Linked DNA regions of Saccharomyces cerevisiae S288C. Changing the gene in region 2 together with the main gene of any one other region gives a genetic interaction. Each region holds a gene or a part of one and is shown on either strand. Other genes may lie near its edges.

What was found.
Region 1: mutations in UTR2 (region 2) and AMD1 together harm fitness more than expected from each alone (negative genetic interaction), as found in Saccharomyces cerevisiae (2 studies listed by BioGRID).
Region 3: mutations in UTR2 (region 2) and QCR10 together harm fitness more than expected from each alone (negative genetic interaction), as found in Saccharomyces cerevisiae (2 studies listed by BioGRID).

Annotation. Positions count from the first base shown.
Region 1 is NC_001145.3:206,943-210,704, forward strand, and holds the start of AMD1 (AMP deaminase), read right to left. Parts: upstream 1,919-3,762; coding exon 1-1,918. Other genes in the region: SRC1 (Src1p), read left to right, coding at 2,583-3,762. UniProt on the Saccharomyces cerevisiae protein: AMP deaminase plays a critical role in energy metabolism.
Region 2 is NC_001137.3:76,221-79,982, reverse strand, and holds UTR2 (chitin transglycosylase UTR2), read right to left. Parts: upstream 1,931-3,762; coding exon 527-1,930; downstream 1-526. Other genes in the region: CYC7 (cytochrome c), read left to right, coding at 6-347; YEF1 (NADH/NAD(+) kinase), read right to left, coding at 2,552-3,762. UniProt on the Saccharomyces cerevisiae protein: Dual chitinase/transglycosylase that plays a role in cell wall architecture. Chitinase and transglycosylase activities are coupled. Required for the polysaccharide cross-linking at the septa and the cell wall.
Region 3 is NC_001140.6:105,962-108,780, reverse strand, and holds QCR10 (ubiquinol--cytochrome-c reductase subunit 10), read right to left. Parts: upstream 956-2,819; coding exon 950-955; intron 887-949; coding exon 659-886; downstream 1-658. Other genes in the region: oxysterol-binding protein related protein OSH7, read right to left, coding at 1,413-2,726.

The DNA.
Region 1 (3,762 bases), on a different chromosome or scaffold from region 2:
GATGCTCGGGGTCACCGGCTTCACCACAATGTGGTCTCAAAACCAAAGTGTTAAACCCTCTCTTAGCCCTCCATTGATTCAAAGACGCGACATTTGAATACAAATAGTACAGGTAATAGGAATAAGGAGGGTTTTGAGGAGCCTCCCAGAGTGATGGCTTGGGATATTTCCTATGAAAGCGGCGATCAACCTTGGATTCATCATCGACAGAATCAAACCCAATTACTCTCTGTAAAAATACATGCAATTTTGGATGAGACTGAGGATTTTTGGTCACTTCAAATAGTGGCTGAAACAGATTCTTACAGATGTCCTGGAAGCTTTGAACAATGCCAGTTTTCTTGTAAATATCATATAACCTCGGAATTTGGACTAACCAACGAACATTATGGGAAATAACTTTGTTGTCAATCACCCAGCTAGCTAGTTTATCCCATTCATCGAGAGACCTGCCATAAACAGAAATTCTATACTCACAGTTTTGGTATTTTGAATTCTCTAAATCGAATATGACTTGTTTGGTAATGTCAGCCAAGTAGGTACCCTTGATGTAGTTGTTTGTCTTCAAAAAAATTTCTCTGAGACGAGATTCACCGATAGGGTTATATTTTAAGTTGAATTTATCGAATCTGTGGAATGTATCCTTATGTGCATGCATATCTAAAGTATCGATGGATAAATCATATCCAGTCAAATGCAAAGAACGGAATACTTCGTCTAAAGTTAGTAGTTTCCCGTCCCTGAAAATAACCTTTTCATCTTTGGAATGTCTCAATTTGTGTTTAATGAAACGTAATAAGTGCTTTTGGTTCATACAAGCAGAATGGTGAACGTGAGTGTCCACTTTCCTAACATTATAAAAATCCCTGTGTGGGTTTCTTTTGGAAACGCTAGTTTCTTGATATTCGTTCAAGAGATAGTAAAGATTCCAGCGTGCTTCTAGGTATTGCAGCCTTCTATAAGCAAATGATTTAGCGGGACCGTCTGATGAGATGGAAATCATTTTTTCTAGATCCAGATAGTAGTCACGAAGGGTAGGGATTTGAGCAATTAACTCATCCGTCTTACCTGATCTGTGTACCACGTACGAGTCGTCATCGTTGAGGGTAAATTCCCAATCTGGATCCTCACCAGGAATTTCACATTTCGTAAAATCGAAAACTTCCGCATCCGGCTTGTTTGTTACTGGCACAACAGTCTTAGTGTCTGAGTTGTATGAAGGTTTAGGTGGTGGTGGATAGACTACCCAGCCTGGCTTATTTTTTGGGTTTTGATCATCGTTTTGCACAGATATGGTCTGATATTTGGCTCTCAAATTTCTACACTCTGCCACTTTGGAATACAAGTCAATCAACTCGGAAGAGGGATCATCAAGAAACTGCTGTGAAGCATCATCAGCCAACATTCCCATTTTATAGGAGGCAGAGGTACGTACCTGCTTATTCACTACCGGAGCGCCGGCAAATGACTTGAGCGTCTCTGGCAAGATATGCTGAGCACTAGCAGACAAGGTCCTCGGTTTACCCCCGGAATTTTGAGATGCATGGTCTGCCGAGTCATGGCCCTTATTCATCGCTGCTATGTTGGAAGAGCTACAATTGGTAGAATGCGATGGTTGCTCCAAGATGGCAGAGTGAGAATCATGCTCATCTAGGGCCAACTGTTTGGTGCCATTTTCCAACAACTGCTGATTCTCGTGATACGAGAAATTAGCATTCCGAGAATCAGCAGCTAAACTTTCGTGTGAATCTTGCTGCTCTAAGGGGGGTGTCTCATCATCCACTACGACACCAGCTTGTTCATCACCAATCTTTCTTTGATCTATGTCAATGACTAGTCCTGAACCATCTTGTTCATCGTGTGAAGGAGCTGGTTCTAGAGAAAGGTCGTTAAGCCTCTGTGTAGCCTGATTGTCCATAATTTTTTTTAGAATGCCCCCTTTTTATTTGTTATATAATTTATTAATCTGGCGTACTAGCAGTTCAATCGAGTTTTGCTGAATCAAAATTGGCTATAGCAGGGAGACTATAATAAAAATACTATTAATATCCGATAATTGACTAGTATACGAGAAACGCTGCTAATTCTGCCTGTAGAGAGAGAGAAGAAAAGTCGTCAAGAGATGCCTTTTTTTTTTTTTTAAAATTTATCTATTTTTTGATAATATCCTTTAAACCTTGTGCTACTAGAACTCCTTTCTCATCATCGCCAGGCGCAAAAAAAAGATGAAAAAGGAATGAAAAAAGAAAAGAGAAGACCCCCACGTGCCCTAAAAATAAAGTTAGGGCATCTATAAAATAACTAGGATATATATATTGATCACCCTGAACGGAAATCAAGGGTTTTAAAGAGCCCTCAAAATTACTGTTTTAGGAAGCCCCCTTTGTTTTTGTTTTGGTTTCAATTTGTGGTGGCTAATCTGGACATCGATCTACTTGTATAGCTGTCAATATACTATGCGGAATACATGGAAGAGAAATAGTCCTCAGTCATTATTAATAGTAGACTGAGACCATACGGAGTGAACGTAGAGGCCAGAACAACAAACAGTAGAACGGTAGCAGTACTCAGTTAGTGCCGCGATGAATAGTGACTTGGAGTATTTAGAGGACGGTTTTGATCCGAATTCAATGAAAGTTGCGACTTTGAGGAGGATATTGGTAGAAAATAATGTCGATTTCCCATCTAATGCTAGGAAAAATGCGCTGGTGGGGCTGTTCGATGAAAAGGTTAAACCGCAGATCCCGCAGTTACGGAAAATGTATCTGAACGTTCGGCCCAGCGATGAAGGTATTGTGAAAATGGACCGTCCCTCATCTTCCCCATCTATAGCTTCCCCTCGTAGAAGTAGACGAGCTCGCAGGGAGAAATCTGCTTCCCCCATGGCCAAACAGTTTAAGAAGAATAGAATACTGGATGATGTAAGTAATGATGATGATGATGATGATGATGATGATGATGACAATGATAAAAAAGACGATCCTTTAATTGTACCTAGTGGAACGGATACCGATGAAGTGGACGATGAAGAGGATGATGTGATAACATCAAGCTCCAACAAATCAGACACCAATGATTTCCAGCAAAATTCCGATACTCGTAAGAAAAGGAAAGACCCTGATTCTGACGACTGGTCTGAATCTAATTCAAAGGAAAATAAAATCGATAATAAGCATTTGAACCTCCTATCATCAGATTCAGAAATTGAACAGGATTACCAGAAGGCAAAAAAGCGTAAGACGAGTGATTTGAACCAAGAGCATGGAAATGGCTCTGCCATTTTAGGAAAACTTTCCGTCAAAACACCAATAAAGAACACAAATAGAAAGCCAGTAAGCATGGATAATTTTAACGATTCGTTGACTTCAAGCGGTACGGAAAATGATCCATTTGTACCGAACATACGACACAATCCAAAAGAGCTCGGAACTGCCAATGGAACAGGCCATAGCACACCCTTGAGTAAGTTAAAAGTTTCTGCCTCATTTGCGGATAAATTGCCTCAAAAGGAGGTACCATCTACAATACTGGTTCCAGAAGTGGAACAGCAAGAACCTTCTCAGAGTGAAAGAACACCGTCTTTGTTTTCGTCCGAAGGCTCTGGCTCAGAGTCGGAAGCACCCTTGCTTCCAGAGATCACCACGCCAGGTCCTCATCAGCCTATGGGTAATACCAGCAATAATGTGGTCGAAATGATAGATACAGATAGTAGTAACTTGGTATCGGATGAAGATGAAGTTTTAGTGCCTACAAGGATCGAGA
Region 2 (3,762 bases):
AAAACATGGCTAAAGAAAGTACGGGATTCAAACCAGGCTCTGCAAAAAAGGGTGCTACATTGTTTAAAACGAGGTGTCAGCAGTGTCATACAATAGAAGAGGGTGGTCCTAACAAAGTTGGACCTAATTTACATGGTATTTTTGGTAGACATTCAGGTCAGGTAAAGGGTTATTCTTACACAGATGCAAACATCAACAAGAACGTCAAATGGGATGAGGATAGTATGTCCGAGTACTTGACGAACCCAAAGAAATATATTCCTGGTACCAAGATGGCGTTTGCCGGGTTGAAGAAGGAAAAGGACAGAAACGATTTAATTACTTATATGACAAAGGCTGCCAAATAGGCTATGTCGTCGGAGGAGATATTTATTACTTTTATTATTCTAGTTTTTTACAGTTATTTATTAATTAATTATTTTTATATGCATGCGAATAAAAAGTCTATATTTAAGTTCTTTTATTTATTAATACATTTTTTTTTGAGAGTCCTGTGTAGCCTATTTGTTCTTAGATGCAGATCCTCCTATAAGACATAACCTAGGATGACACATAAAACAGTCAAACGCCAGTTTGCCGCTACGTTGGCACCTGCGTTATTACCGCTCATTGAGCTTGTACTGCTGGAGGCGCTTCCGCTTACAGAAGATGTTGTTTGAGTTTGGGAAGTGACGGAAGAGGATACGGAGGATACGACTTTATCTCCGTTCTTAGTAGCAGTAGAGGAAGAAGAAGAAGAAGAAGAAGATGATGATGATGATGATGAAGCGGTGGAACTAGTCTTACTACTCTTCTTAGTTGAACTGCTGTGATCGGATGACGTTTTGGAGGAAGAGGTTGCAGTTGAGGAAGAACTCTTTTGGGTGGAAGATGTGGTAGCTCCCTTATGTGGGTCCAAGCCAGATCCCTCATCACTGTCCATCATGACCTCATCATCGGTAATAGCAATGTCTTTGGCCAAAAATTCACTGGACGAAGTATACACATAAGCAGAAGTACCATTCTTCTTGGTATCGCTTGGTGGATCATAACATGTGATATTAACTTCATTGACAATAGCATAATAATATCCTGGGTTGCTGATATCGGATGCGTCCCAATTAATTTCACCACCAGACCATGCAATGGTTCCTGGAGCGTTGGTAGAATTACCACCTGGCCAAATGGAAATATCCACCTTGGATGGGGTTTGTGGGTATTGATATTTTTGGGTGGTGGCGTTATAAGTTTCGTTCTTGTACAAGGTTCTACCGACGACACCATCGATGGACCATGTTACATAATCTTCGTGCCAATCTAATTCGTAAGTATGGTAGTTTTCAAATGTATCAGTAGTGGAAATATTGGCAGAATTCGTGTAGTTCAAAACACTTTCCCAATAGAAATTGGTTTGAGCAGTTTCTAGATCAGCACCGACGAATTCGTAATCAAGTTCATCACCTGCGCCGGAATACAGAATGAACCCAGTGACCACACCAGCAAGATGTGACGTCTTTATTCTAGCACTGACCTTACCATACCAAACAGCCCTCGTGGAGGAAAGAACGGTACCACCACTGTTCTTGGGCATCGCCAAAATTAAACTTTCTTCATCATCATAATCCAAAACGTCACCAGTATACAACCAATCAGCCTCACTAACATTTCCTAAGAAAGTGTTAGCATTCCCCAACTTAGAGGAATAATCTTTGAATTTAGTGGATGAACTCTTGCAGATAGGTACAGGCATACATGAATCATGACTAAACGAATATCTTACATCACAGTTGTTCAGACAATATTGACCAGTACCACATTCACCATATTGTGAGCAACATGGTTTATCTTCGGGACATGCTTGAGTTGCATTGCAAAATGTAGCGGCCTCTACACGTACCACGAAGGAAAAAATACTGACTAAACAAATTAGCCAACTATTAACGATTGCCATTATTAATTATATAATTAGCTTATTTGCAGGACAATAAATAGAAGTTTTACAAAGGGAACAGGGTCCAACAGAAACCATAATCACCAGGAATGTTGTTCTTTTTATACCTCAGGCATGTTTTAAAAGCCTCTTCTGCAGTTTTAATTTGGAAACTATCCACCTTGAAGATTCCCACTAAATCTTCGAAGGACGACGATTTTCTTCGAGGTTGAAAAAAGTTTTTCAAGAATTTTCGCGCTTCTTCCTAATCGGGAATTTATCTGTCATAATTATAATTCCCTATTTGGGAATTGGAACGAAATATATGCTACTATTTTAAAAATTATTCTGCACCATTCCGGAAATAACCTTCCGGTGACTGCAAGTTAGGCAACCTTATCATATGGTTAACTAGCATAATTACAAACGCGCATGAGGAAATTTAGCGAAACTACCTGCCAAATGCGGCGCTCTGGTTCAACTGTTTCATTTCTCCATTTTGTATAGCTCTACTGGATCTTCTTCGACACTGCAAACGACGCAAGAGCATTCTTGAAGTAAAAGAGGTAAATACAAAGCTGTTTACAGGCTCATCATCCATTATGAACCCTTGACTACGGAAACGCAGGATGTGGGAAATCGTTAGATTGCAAAATGAGCCTGACGAGTCCGTTCAACAACTATTTCTGTTTCTGTTTCCGTTACGGATTTCCTCTCCTCATCTTGTGCATCTGAGCTTATGCATGAACTCTCGAGGGGATTACTTATGGTGTCGTTTCCATTTTTCGATGAGTCTAATCTATATTTTTCTTGATTTTTTGGCGAGAGAATATGTGCAAATGGCTTCTGCTCTTCGCGGTCATTCCAATTAAGATTTTTACTGATACTTTCAAAAAATTCACTGGCAGATGACTCGATAGTCGGTACCGAATAGGGGCTTGCAGTTATCACAACATAGTCACCCTGTTTCAATTCAACTCTATCTTTTCCGTCAAAATTCACCCACGACGTCCCTCTTGAGTTCATATCTACTCTAACTTTTAATTCCATGCTATCTGGTAAAATTATAGGCCTAAAGCTCAAAGTATGAGGACATATAGGCGTCACCGCTATGGCATTTACGCTTGGCGATATTAAAGAGCCTCCTGCACTCAATGAGTATGCCGTGGATCCCGTAGGCGTGGCAACAATCAATCCATCTCCCTGAACCTTAGTCATTAGTGAGTCGTTTCCATAGAGTTCTAATAGGGATAAACAAGGAGCTGGACCTCTATCTATGGTTACTTCGTTCAATACGTGATGTTCGGAGATGAAATCGATGTAACATATTTTTCTCCCAGTTGCGGCATCAATTTCTGGTTTATTTCTACGGTAGAGTTTGCATTGCAACCTCATTCGTAAATTAATACGAACCTCATCTGTTAAGATATGTTTCAACGTTTCTTTGAAATTTTGAAATTCAAAATTTGTTAGAAATCCTAATGATCCAAGGGCAAATGGAACAATCGGCGGAACATCTTTCGTGAATATAGATGAAGCAAAAAGGACAGTTCCATCACCCCCTAGTGTAATCATCAAGTCAAAGAATGAATCGTGTTTTTTAACAAATTCTTTTGACCAATACTTTACTCTGTTTTTACTGCAATTGCTGTCTTTGCAGAGGTCACCAACAGCAAACTGAGTTGACTTTTTAAAAATATCTTGTACATATACAGTTATTGAATGGAAATTGCGTAAGATCCATTCCACCACTTCTCTCATGAGAAATACAGTGGAAATATCATTAATATTGCAGATTATTATCAGGTTTTCAACCTGCAAGTCAACCTTAGCATTTATAAGATCCTTTCTCA
Region 3 (2,819 bases), on a different chromosome or scaffold from region 2:
CTCGAGAAATTTCACTGGTGCTTTCACGAGCAAACTATTTTGTTACTCTGGCTGTTATGTCCTTCTTAAAGGATTTAACGAGTTCTAAAACGGCAAAGTTTTCAAGTGCTTGGATTTACACTATTTGAGGTTATTTTAAGAGATGATCTTTCAAGGGTTTTAAATATTAATTATAATATTATTTGGTCTTTTCTTCCGGCGGGTTGAAAGTTCCAGCTGCGGGAGGAAGGTAAAGTACTCCATTTGAAAAAATAGAAATTACAAGAAACGGCGTTAGCATTGGCGTATGCCTAAATCATCAAAATGGCGAATGAAATAGGTTTCCCTGAAAACATAGAGATGTGCTGCCCAATTACAAAGCTCAAAAGATACATAAAAAGAGGAAAAACAAACCTGTAGTTAACTTTTCCCTACTCTTTGATAACTGATGTTTTAGTAAATATTCTGAAAATAGAGGGGTAAATATTTAAAAATGTTGTATGGATCAATTACTTTTTATACCTTTTATGATCCAGTTTAAAAATATGTATAGATAATCGAGAATATGCAAAAATAAAAAAAAATACAAATGTGTTTTGCATTAATTCCTCTTCCAAAATGATAGAAAAGAACGTAAAACAAATAAATAAAATCACTCAGCCGGTTGGATGTTTTGGCTTCAATTAGGTTTATCTTCTGGTGGAGTATGATCTTCCAATGTAGGTCCTAACAACGGAATCTTTTTGTATAGCGTATCTTGAAACTTAGGCCATCCTTCTGTGAATACAAATAGCCCAAGCATGCTAGCACCACCCCATAACATTAAATTCGGAGCATAAGCTGTTAAACTTCTTAAAGAAAGTCTACCGAAATGTAGACCAGTTTTTGAAGACAGATGAGAAGTGTACTGTATTATAAATGTTAGTATACTAATTCGGTTCTAGCTCACATAATATGATAGGATACTTACCGCCATTGAGGTTAGTTTTAAGTCTTATGGATTGTATTTATCGATATATTATTCGACTTGCGCTTTTGCTGTGAAGATTATTCCAGAAGATATCTATAACAAATTATGCATTCAAACTGTTATGTGATATATCCCGTCCCCTTGATAAATGGTATGGTTTTTTGATGCGGAAACAACGGGTTGAACCATATTTAGTTTTAATTGGATCAAAATCACGTGACAAAATACTACTTTGCAATAGTAATACGCACTTGAAAACTATGTAAATATAAGTATATATTCAAAGTGCGACAGCGTTATATCGCATAGCATTCTTCAGTCATTAGAGGTAGTGGTGAAGATTGAGGACAGTTTCGCGGCTCGTAACGTTAGCAAAAACTACCCATAACTAGGTGCATATTACACTGATATTAAATTACAGAGTGAGAAATCGTACTAGTATAATTAAAATAGAATGAGAAGCCTAATTCTTTTGGATTCCATGCTTTTTATAAGCCGGAATAGAAAATTTTTCAGTGAATGTCTGTCCTGGTAAAATCGGGGCAGTTTCCAAAATGCTCCTGATCTGTTCTTCATGCTTGTCGGTCCCTTCAGGGATGTGCTTGTAAATATAATAATCTAAATCCTCACCTGGCTCTGCCCTTCTAAATAGTTTTGAATGAAATTCAACGCCGTCTTCGGCCCTCTTTTTGGCCAGCTCTCTTTGGCGGTTTTCTATCTGAAACTTTTCTTCTGTAGCTACTTCATGGTCACGTACAGCCAGCGCATCCGTAACCTTCTTCCAAAGCCTTCTCGATTCGTATTCTCCCTGTTCCTCCAATGGGCGGACTTTAGGAGCTAGAGGAAAATGCTGATGAGTATCGAAGAGAACAGTCTTTTTAGAGCTTTTTTCCCTCAAATCTTTGATATACATAATATCATTCCACTTACCACTAATTTGGTAGTATTCCTTACCATCGTAATCCTTAATTGTACCTTCAATTGCATCATAGGTACCAGAAATAAAGCCCTTTGTTTTGAACTCAATATCCACTTGATACTTAGGACCCATAATGACCATGTGATCTCCCAATTCAATCCTCATCTTGCCAAACAGAATTCCCCTTGCGTAAACATTTGGTTGCGATAGAGTATATTTCTCTGGTTTACCATTTGCATCCTTGATATCAAGGAATTGCAATACAGTTAACCCCTCCATCATTGCAGCACTTGAGTTTCCTAAAAATTTCGATTTTGGCACAACAACTCCATCAACTCTAATATTCGATTCTGGAATCATGTAAAAATACGCAGATTCAGGAGGATGGTGACTCGTTTGTTCTGCAATGTAAAAGGCTTGTTGCTTGTTAGGCAAATCCCAATAAGCTGTAAAGTGTTCTCCAAGAATGGGATTTAGGGGCTTCTTCACAGCCCTGGGCCCAATGTGCCAACCTGCTAGGTACCATGCTACCACTTTAACGAACCTTTGCAGCCCGTCTTTATTGGAGTGTGCTTCTAAAAGAACATCTGGGAATTGTAATTGATTAGTGATTCTCTCCAACATCGATTTTTTTTCCAGAATAAATGTCGGAAGTGTGATTCTAGATAAATCACAACCTGGCTTCAGCTGGGAAATAATATTTAATAGAATACTTTGCCCAGATTCATCATTCTCATCGATATCATCCGTGTCTGCTCCGCTTGGTTTGGAATTTGCAGCATTGGATGCAATGCCGTTAATTGAGCTATGAGAACTGTTTGTTAAAGAAGGTATATTCTTTAGTTTATTGAGAGCCATTCTTTGTTTCTAATTTACTGGTTAGTTTCCTATTTCTAAATGAAAGAAGGAGGAATCTTTCCATTTTGAATATATCACATCCCTTCTTTGTTG